Oryctolagus cuniculus: one gene and its partner. The protein of the gene in region 1 purifies or fractionates together with the protein of each later gene. This does not show direct contact. Links are inferred from orthologs where the notes say so. Each region holds a gene or a part of one and is shown in the gene's direction. Other genes may lie near its edges.

What was found.
Region 2: the proteins of IGF2BP3 (region 1) and FUS purify together in Homo sapiens (affinity purification with mass spectrometry; 3 studies listed by BioGRID and IntAct, with this or other methods). This does not show direct contact. The link is inferred for Oryctolagus cuniculus from reciprocal best matches to the Homo sapiens genes IGF2BP3 and FUS.

Annotation. Positions count from the first base shown.
Region 1 is NC_091447.1:15,444,253-15,448,793, reverse strand, and holds the start of IGF2BP3 (insulin-like growth factor 2 mRNA-binding protein 3), read left to right. Parts: upstream 1-1,471; 5' UTR 1,472-1,703; coding exon 1,704-1,878; intron 1,879-2,102; exon of another isoform or gene 2,103-2,273; intron 2,274-2,753; coding exon 2,754-2,814; intron 2,815-4,541. UniProt on the Homo sapiens protein: RNA-binding factor that may recruit target transcripts to cytoplasmic protein-RNA complexes (mRNPs). This transcript 'caging' into mRNPs allows mRNA transport and transient storage.
Region 2 is NC_091450.1:6,013,736-6,018,100, reverse strand, and holds the start of FUS (RNA-binding protein FUS), read left to right. Parts: upstream 1-1,520; 5' UTR 1,521-1,622; coding exon 1,623-1,635; intron 1,636-2,974; coding exon 2,975-2,999; intron 3,000-3,102; coding exon 3,103-3,257; intron 3,258-3,960; coding exon 3,961-4,105; intron 4,106-4,299; coding exon 4,300-4,365. UniProt on the Homo sapiens protein: DNA/RNA-binding protein that plays a role in various cellular processes such as transcription regulation, RNA splicing, RNA transport, DNA repair and damage response. Binds to ssRNA containing the consensus sequence 5'-AGGUAA-3'.

The DNA of each region.
Region 1 (4,541 bases):
AGTATATAATGTGGTCGAAGAGTAGCCAACGGCACCGGCCGTGAGTTACCGAAGATGTTTGCAGCTACATTGCGATACCTTCTCTATTCACAACACATTTTCCTGCCGCCGAGAACACCGAGTCATTAAAGATCCCAGTGCCTGTTCCCGCGCTGCGTAGGATTTCATTCACTTTAAAGACGAGCGTTTTCCATCTCTCCCCTGGACTGTCTGCTACGAGCCCATCCCAGGGCTCCGGTGCACCCGAAAGACCCTCGCAGGCTCCCCGCCCGAGGCCCTCCCCCACTCCCACCATTGTGCTCGCCCCAGGCCGGCGAGAGGCGCAGGGCTCGCCCCGCCGAAGGCGCGCACCGAGGCGGCAGGGAGCGGCTCGGGCCATTTTGCAAGTGAGGCTGCCACCCAGGACTGGCGCGGGGCGGTCTTCCCCCGCACGGCTCCCAAGTTCTCCAACTGAAATCGTCTCCATAAAAGTGCCAACCCGCCTCGCCGCCCCGAGATCGCGGTGGGGGGGGGGGGTCTCCCGCAGGCCGCCCCTCCCCCACCGGCGGCCGGGCCCGCCCCCGGCCTCATTTATCCCGGAGCCTTTTCCGAGCCGCGCAGCCAATGGCAATCGCGAAGCCGAGAGCCACCGCGAGCGCAGGCGGAGGAGGTGTCGCGCAGACGCCCGCCCCGGACGCCGCGCCCCTCCCCCGCCGGCTCCGGGGGCGCGGGGCTCGGCCCCCCGCCCCTCGCCGCGTCCGGTCCCCGCCGCCGGGGGGCGGGGCGGGGTGGGGACAGGCCCCGGCCCGCACCTCCGGCGTCTTCCAGGCAGCCAGGCGAGTTGGGGACGGTGACTCTCGGCCTTGGTCGTTCATCACCTATTTGCAAAAAAAAAAAAAAAAAAAAAAAGGAAAAAAATCGAATAATTAAAAACTGCGGTTCCGAGAGCCGGGGAACTGCCCAGCAAGCAACCCCAACCCCTGCACCCTGGAAAATAAAATCAATGCCCCGGCCTCCCCCCACCCCTCGCTCCCGCCCCGCCGGCCCCCGGGCAAACTCGGCGGCGCCCCCCGTCCCCCGCCACCCCGGCCGCGCCCCTCCCCCACGCCGCCCCGCCCCCACCCCACCCCCACCCCCACCCCCACCCCCACCGCCTCTCGCTCTCTGCCTCCTCTCCTCCGAAACCCACTCTAATTGAGGCGCCGGGATTCCTCACGTGAGACGTTGATTTGTAGCTTGAACACGTGGCTCATTCAAAAAGCCGGGCCCTCGCCGTGGATTCCTGCGCCCGCCCGCGCCCCTCCCGCGTGCCCGCCGCGCTGCGGGGGCCTGGTGGGGCGGCGCTGCGCCGGGCCCCGCGCCGGGCGCTATTTTCGCCGCGCGGCGGGGCCGGGCCGGGCCGGGGGTGGGGGGGGCGCCAAGTAGTTTCCTCCCCCGCCCCTCCCCCCGCGCGGGCTGGTCCCGCCTCCGCCTCTGCCTCCTCCTCCTCCTCCTCCTCCTCGGAGTTGGGAAGACTCGTGGATGCGCCCGGGCTGGGGCTGGGCTTTCTCTCTCCTCGCTCTCGGTTGCAGCGCCCGGGAAGGGGCACCCCGCGCCCCCCGGACCCGGGCTCGGCGCGCGCGGACCTGCGGGACCTGGCCCTCGCCGCTGCCGTGTTTTTCATTTTTTCGTCCCCCCACCCCACCCCGCGCTGTGTTCCTGTTTCCGAGCCGCCCCCTTTCGCGATGAACAAACTGTACATCGGGAACCTGGGCGAGGACGCGGCGCCCGCGGACCTCGAAAGTATCTTCAAGGACGCCCAGATCCCGGTGTCGGGGCCCTTCCTGGTGAAGGCGGGCTACGCCTTCGTGGACTGCCCGGACGACGGCTGGGCCCTCAAGGCCATCGAGGCGCTCTCAGGTGGGCCCCGGCCTGGCCGCCGCGCCCGGAGGCGCCACGGGACCCCAGGCCGGGCACTCAGCGCGCGGCGCGGGGGTCCAAGGGCCCGGGCCGGACGCGCTGTCAAGAAAGCCCCGCGCGGGCACGGAGGGGCGCGGGGCCGCGGCGGGCGCGCGCTCCAGGCCCCGCCACGCCGGGCCCGGGCCGGGCGCGGGCGCCTGCTCGCCCTGCTGCTCCCTGCGGGCTAACCTCTGCTCGCTAACTCGTGGCCTGGACCCGGCTGCCTCTCGGCCTAAGGGAGCGCACGGTATCCCGGACACGGGCTGCCTAGGGAGGCCGCGGGGCTGGTGCCTTGCACGGGCGGTCCCGCGCCGCCCCGGCTCCACCTCGCCCCGTCCGACGCGCGCCGGGGGCAGGTGGGCTCGGGCGGCGGCGGCCTCCGGGACTGGCGGGGCGCGCGCGCTGGTCCGGGGCGCGCGGGGCGACGAGGCCTGGGGCGGCAAGGTTGCGCTGGTTCCCTCCGAGAGCCCTGAGTCTTAGGGCTTCTCCTCCTACCGACTCAGCCTGGCTGTGGGCGCTCGGCTCGCCCTGTGCTCGGCCGCACGTCCGGCCGGCCCCGGCTCCGGCGCCAACGGTTCCCGGAGGGCCTGGGCTGGGACCAGAGAACAGGACTGGGCGCCCTCTCCCCCGAGTCGGCCCTGTGGGGGAGGGTCCTGGAGAGGCCGGAGAGACCCGGTGCCTGGCTGCCACCCGAGGGGCCCCCACTTCCCGAGGGGCCCGCTGCCCACCAGCGTAGCGGCGGCGCCGAGGCCTCGGGGCGGCCGGTGGCGCCGCCCAGGGTGTGTGGGGCTCGGGGCTCCGGCGACCCGACAGTCTCATGTCTCGTGTGTCCGCAGGTAAAACGGAACTGCACGGGAAGCCCATCGAAGTTGAGCACTCGGTCCCAAAACGGCAGAGGTGAGCGTCTTTATTCTTTTCTCGCCCCATTGTTGGGAGCCCAGACTCCACCGAGCGCAAACCCTTTCCCCGCACCCCGCCCCGGGCTCTTGGCCATTGTGCTGGCGAGGAAGGGGGTCTCTCGGAGGACGCTCTGGGCATAGCAGGTCTAGGTGGTGCCGCAGGGCGCGGGAGGCTGCGGCCGGCCCAGGTGCGGTGGGCCTGCCCGGGAGCCGGGGCGCGAGGCCGGAGCTCGCCCCTACCCTGCTGGCGCGCCGGCCGCGCTTGGGTCCCGTCCCGAAGCCTGGGCTTCCCGGCCCAGCGGAGCCTCTCTCGGCCCCTCCAGACTCACACAGGTCTTTGCCGACCGTGCCTTTGTCTCCCTCTGCGCCCCCACGCCCCCTGCCCCCTTTTTCCTGGGTCTCTCTTTGCTTTCAGCTGAGCCCCAGGGTGGTGAGACGGGGAGGTGGGTGCTAGCTCTGCAGGAGGATTTCTCCGAGAACGTGCGTAGCGTGCCTTTTTTGGGGCAGCGTTGTGCAGACTCCTCGAGCCTCTGAAGTGTTTTCCAGACCAGGCCGGATCGGGCTCTGTAATCCTGTGTGTGGCGCTGGGTTCTTGCAGGGTGGCCCTGGGGCTCCTGCTTCCCACCGCCCCACTCCTTGCCGGGGCCTGACAAGGAGCTCCAGGCTGCCGCGCCCCGGGGCCTGCGTACGTGCGGCCTGGCGTCGGGGAGAGCGAGCTGGGGGCCGCACGGTTCGCTGTGCGGACGCGCGCCGGCGTCCGGCCGCCCCTGCTTCTACAACCAGCTGCCTTCCGGGTAAAGCGTTTGCAAACTGAGTCTCGTTTCTAGGAATGAGTCGGCTTGGTTTTACGTGGAGGTCTCTGGTTTTAGGCGCTGAATTTTCGTTAGGATACGTAGGAAAGGGAGTAACCGATTAGATTTAGTTGTAGTTGGGAATTATGTTTAATTACATGAAATTATTTTTAAAAACCTGTAAAATAATAGAATTTGTACTGAAAAGTCTCAGTTGATGTTAATTGAACGGGACTTGAAGAAAGGAGAAGTCTTATCCCTCTAAAAAGAAATGTATACGTCTAGCATGTGAATTGTGAACCTAAATACACACACACACACACACCTCTACACCTGCAAATTCTAAATGATTTCAGAGTTTAAGCACTGTCTTAGTTTTCATCAAATGTTGAATTAAAAGTAAGAAAATGGTAATGCTTTAAGGACTGGCATTTTAACAGTGGAGAGTTTTAAATGTAAATACTTAGTGTCTTGTTTTCAGGTAGATTGGATTAACCTACATGCAAATATATGATGGCTTCACCCTCTTGCTTTTTGTTTCCAACTGTTGTGAATTTCTTCTCACTTGTAGGGGATTGAGAAACATCTTCTGGTAACAACTGCTTGTTTTAAAGGTTTTTTTTTTTGCCTAGCCCTGAACATGCTTGTTACTTTGTAATGGGCGGTAGTTCCTCTTAGCACATTAGATACAACGTTTCCAGAGGCAGCAAGTGTCTCTGTGGAAGTTTGTCAAGGTTGTAAACAAGGTGAATTTTCACTAGCATTATACTGTGTCACTAGCAGAGTGAAGGGGTGAATACAGTGGAAACTTTTTTATGCACTAATTTGAGAGAACAATCAAGGGCTGTAAATGCTTTGCTTGTATTAAAATGTCTTAAATAGGAGAATCCAGGAAATTTACTGGAAATTTATAGTACGATTTGGTTCCCGTGAC
Region 2 (4,365 bases), on another chromosome or scaffold:
TATTAAAAGTTGATTAGCATCATCTGTTTTGTACACCAATGTAGTTCTCATAGCCCTGGACGGCGCCTGGAACATAGCAGACATTTAAAAACTGTTGACTTCCTGATGGGCTTCTCTTGTGTTCACTCCGGAGTCACACTGTTTTTCAGTGAGGGCTTGGTGGCAGGGTATTCAAGAGTCATCCAACAGTACGAAGTCTGTGGGCTTGCCTAGAGCAGAACCCCTGTATCTTATCTGTCTAGATGCTCAATCTACAAAGAAATGTCTGGAACCCAGAGCAAAGTTTGGTTGGGAAGGAAAATCTACAGTCGCACATGTACCAGGAATAATCTTTGTCTGATTTGTTGGAAAAGATTCAAATCCCCCTCCCTAGGCAAAGCTGATCAGAGTGCAAGGTGCAAGTTAATTTGAATTTTGCCCCCCCCCCCCCCCCGCCTTCATTCTCACAGGAAACGGAACAGGCTTTCAAAATTCTATAAATAGTTCAGGTAACCAACAAAGACCTAGTGGTGTAGTGACCTGGACCTGGATTCGAATCACTGCCCCTCGCTCAGCTGCCTGTACAAACACGGATTGCGCAGGCTCTCCCAGGAGCTTCGCTTTTCTCGTCTCTACAATGGAGATGCCTTTTTTACTTTCTTCACCGGTTTTTGATGAGAAGGATGTAAAACTGCGCATGAAACTACTGAAGTCGTATGCCAATGCATTATCCCCAGTATCTCCACGCGGGTTCCGCGGAAGGGCTCAGAATGAAGAGTGTAGGTCGTCGTCGGGAAAGGGGCGGGGAGGGGGGACCCGTAATCTGATAACGGCAAGGCTAGCTGGGGTCGGAGGGGGGCCCGGGCTTTCCCGCCCCACGGTCCTCCAGGGGCAGAGCCACGAGGGTTCTGCCGATCGCTCCGCGCTGCATGAGGGCCCAGAGATCCAGGCTCAACTCCATGCTTGCTTTCCGGTCAGATGTCACAATCTATAAACCCCACTGAGGACTAACGCAGAGGCACCCTCAAGACGCTGAAGCGAAAGCCGAGACGCAGGGAAGGAGAGGGTCGCTGCGATGGCTGAGGGAGCAACGCTACAGCTCGCAGACAGGAGGGTGGCGCCCTATGCGGCAGAAAGGCAGCGGAGGAGGGGCTCGCCATCCCGAGTCAAAGTGAGGCCCGGGCGAGAGGGGCCAACCAGAGGAATCTCGGTTCCCACACCTCGACTCCCGGCCTTGACTACGGTTCCTTCCGCAGACGCCCGGGGCCTCGGCCCCGCCTCTAACGTAATCAGACCGTACCATGTCTCTCTTATAGGGGTAGAGAAGAATCGTAGGCTAGGCCTGCAGAGCGAAGGTGAGCTATTGATCAGAGAAAACATGATGATATATATTCTCTTATATGTATTAGTTAGTTTTTTTCCTTCTTTCTGCTGGGACCCTCGACCCTCCCCGGAAGGTGGTAGGAGTCCGGCCCTGCTTCCCCCCTTCGTTTTCGGCGGTTGGTACGTCCCCCCGCGGTACGTGGGCGGGGAGGCGTACATAAGCCTCGACGCAGGAGGCGGGGCTGCTCAGTCCTCTAGGCGTCGGTGTTCCGAGGTGTCGGAATCTTGTTGCTTGGCGGCCTGTGCGCGCGTGCGCGGAGATGGCCTCAAACGGTATGTAAGGGCGCGAGGCAGCGGTGGCGCGCCGCTCCGGAGGGCCTGGCTTGCTCTCTCCTAGCTGGGCTTTTGATTTTTTTCAGTGGGGCCAGGGCGGCGATCGCGTGTAGGATATTTTCGAACCCCTGTGGCGGGAAGCCCGCGGAGAGGGGCGGAAGGGGGGGCGGGAGGCTGTTGTCGCCATTTTGTTTTGCTCCTCTGGCGCGTTTCGTGCGGGGCGGGAAGTCTTCCCTCCGTTCCCTTGGATGAGGTGGGGGGAGGACGCTTTTCAGCGAGTTCGAGTCTGTGGTAGCGGGCGGAAATGCCCAGGTTCCCGGGCCCCCCCACCCCCTCCACGCCGCGCTCGGGCCCGCTTTGTCGCAGTGCTGCATCCGGGCACTCGGTGCGCGCACGCGCCTTGCGGGCCCCTCCCCCGTGCTCGCGGCGCCGATCCTCCCTTCCCAGCCTCGTGTCAGGCCGGCTTTTTGTCGCGAGACCCTCGGTAGCGGACTCGGCGGCCCGCCTCCGGCGTGGGCCTCGCCCCTCAGGGTCCCACGGGAAGGGGCGGGACCGCCGCGTTCCCGCCTCGGTTGCCACGCGGCCGGGGGCGGATGCTCGGGATCGGGGCCGCGCGCCCGGCCTAACGGTTGAGGGGGGCGTCGGGGAGATCCGCCAACGGTCTCGGGGGCCGAGTCCGAGGGTTTTCCCGCCTAAATTTTCTTTTTCCCCGAATTGGGAACGGGCGTCCGAGGCCACACCCTTCCCCGATCCCTTTGCCGTTTCCTGCGGCGGGAAGCGCCTGGGTTCCTGGACTGAGGGCAGGAGTTGATCTCGCTGCTGCGTCTCGAATGTGACGTCCTAAAAGCGCTTTTCGGTACCTTTTGGGTTGCGGCGGCTCCTCCTGTCTGAGAAGTCGGCAGGAGTCGATGAGAGCCTGTTGGAGCCCCAGGCCTGGGGACTTGAGCACTGATCGAATTGATGAGGGGCCTTGTCGTTTGGCGTCACAGGACCTCTGCTTTTTGGTTGCTTGGCTTTGCTTTAAGACTCCCCTCTGCTTTTTCTCCCAAGATTGGCCAAGGGGCGGAGAATGGCTATTGTTTTTTGGTGCCCACTTAGGAACTCCGTGGCCTTTGTCATGGAGTGGGTGTGACCGGGACAGGGATGGGACAGGTTTTCTAGCAGTTCCTCAAGCGAGTGGAGTTTGCATTGAGAAAGAGTCTGGTGGGGCGTTGGTGGCCAGCAGGGCAGCAGTAGGCTGGTGGGTTTCCTGGCTCCGATGCCCCAGTTCTTGGGTTAAGGAATAGACCTGGCAACCCCTTTCTTGACCCTAACGTTGATTGTCTTTTCTCTTCATCAGACTATACCCAGCAAGCAACCCAAAGGTGAGTGCCGTGTCTGGGCTTCTAGAATTCCTAGCGGGCAAGGGTGGTTGAGGTCATTTTCTTGACTGCACCCTTTTTCTTCTTTTTTCTTTTTCCCCTGCAGCTACGGGGCCTACCCCACCCAGCCTGGGCAGGGCTACTCCCAGCAGAGCAATCAGCCCTACGGACAGCAGAGTTACAGCAGCTACGGGCAGTCAGCAGACACTTCAGGCTATGGCCAGAGCAGCTACGGTTCTTCTTACGGACAGACCCAGAACAGTGAGTCTGTCTTGGGCGGGGGGGTCACTCTGCCTTGAAACCCTAAGCAGTGCTGAAGTGGTGAATCTCTCATGTTTTTTCCCCTTTAACCCTAAAACTTCTTGGAGTCTGCAGTCTTTTCCAGTGAAAATGCTTCCTTCCTTGCTTTTAATCGTTTCCTTTTTTCCTTTGACTTTTTGTTTATGCTGTACCTTTTCTCTGTTTCCCTGCTAAGCATGAGGGCATACTCCCTAAAGAGAGTGCCAGTCTTAGGCTGATTCTTAGTGGAGAAAATGGTCTTCTTGTCTGAAGTCCCATTACTGGGCATCACGGGATACGCCAGGAGAAGGAATTTGCCCCCGAGTTCTGAAGTGAAAATAATTCATGTGGGTTTTCTTGTGTATGGTGTACTCATACCAGCATATTAAAACGTGGTTGACACAGAGGGATATTTTGAATAAGATTCCAGTCTTGGAGACTGGCTTTAGGATAGGTGGAATAAAATTGGAACTGTCTTTAAAAAGTCAGTAGGAGTTAGAACATTAACCTTAGAGTTCAGAAGAATGTCCTTTCCCTGGCTGGGAGTTGCAGGATTTACTAGCAGTTGCTAAGAGGTATGGATGAACATAGGTAGAGTATGTTTTTTTTTTTTTTTTTTCAACCCTTCCCATGCCTTTGTTTCTTCATAGCTCTCGTGACTCCCTTGCTTTGTTTTTCTTCGTAGCAGGCTATGGCGCTCAGTCAGCTCCCCAGGGGTATGGCTCAACTGGCGGCTATGGCAGCAGCCAGAGTTCTCAATCATCCTATGGGCAGCAGTCTTCGTACCCTGGCTATGGACAGCAGCCAGCTCCCAGCAACACCTCCGGCAGGTAAGGTGTTTGTGTGCCCGCAAGATGAGGGGTGAATTGCTAAGGAAAGAAGGCAGAGCACTAGGAGCCATTAGGAGGCGCAGTGTGTGGTGGGGGAAGGGAGGCCTGTGTTGGTAGGGAGGAGGGGATGTGCTGAAAGTGAAAGGAAGTTGTGGGCATGCCGGGGTTCTGATTTGCCTGTGTGTTTCCCGTAGTTACGGCGGCAGTTCTCAGAGCAGCAGCTATGGGCAGCCCCAGAGTGGGGGCTATGGCCAGCAGTC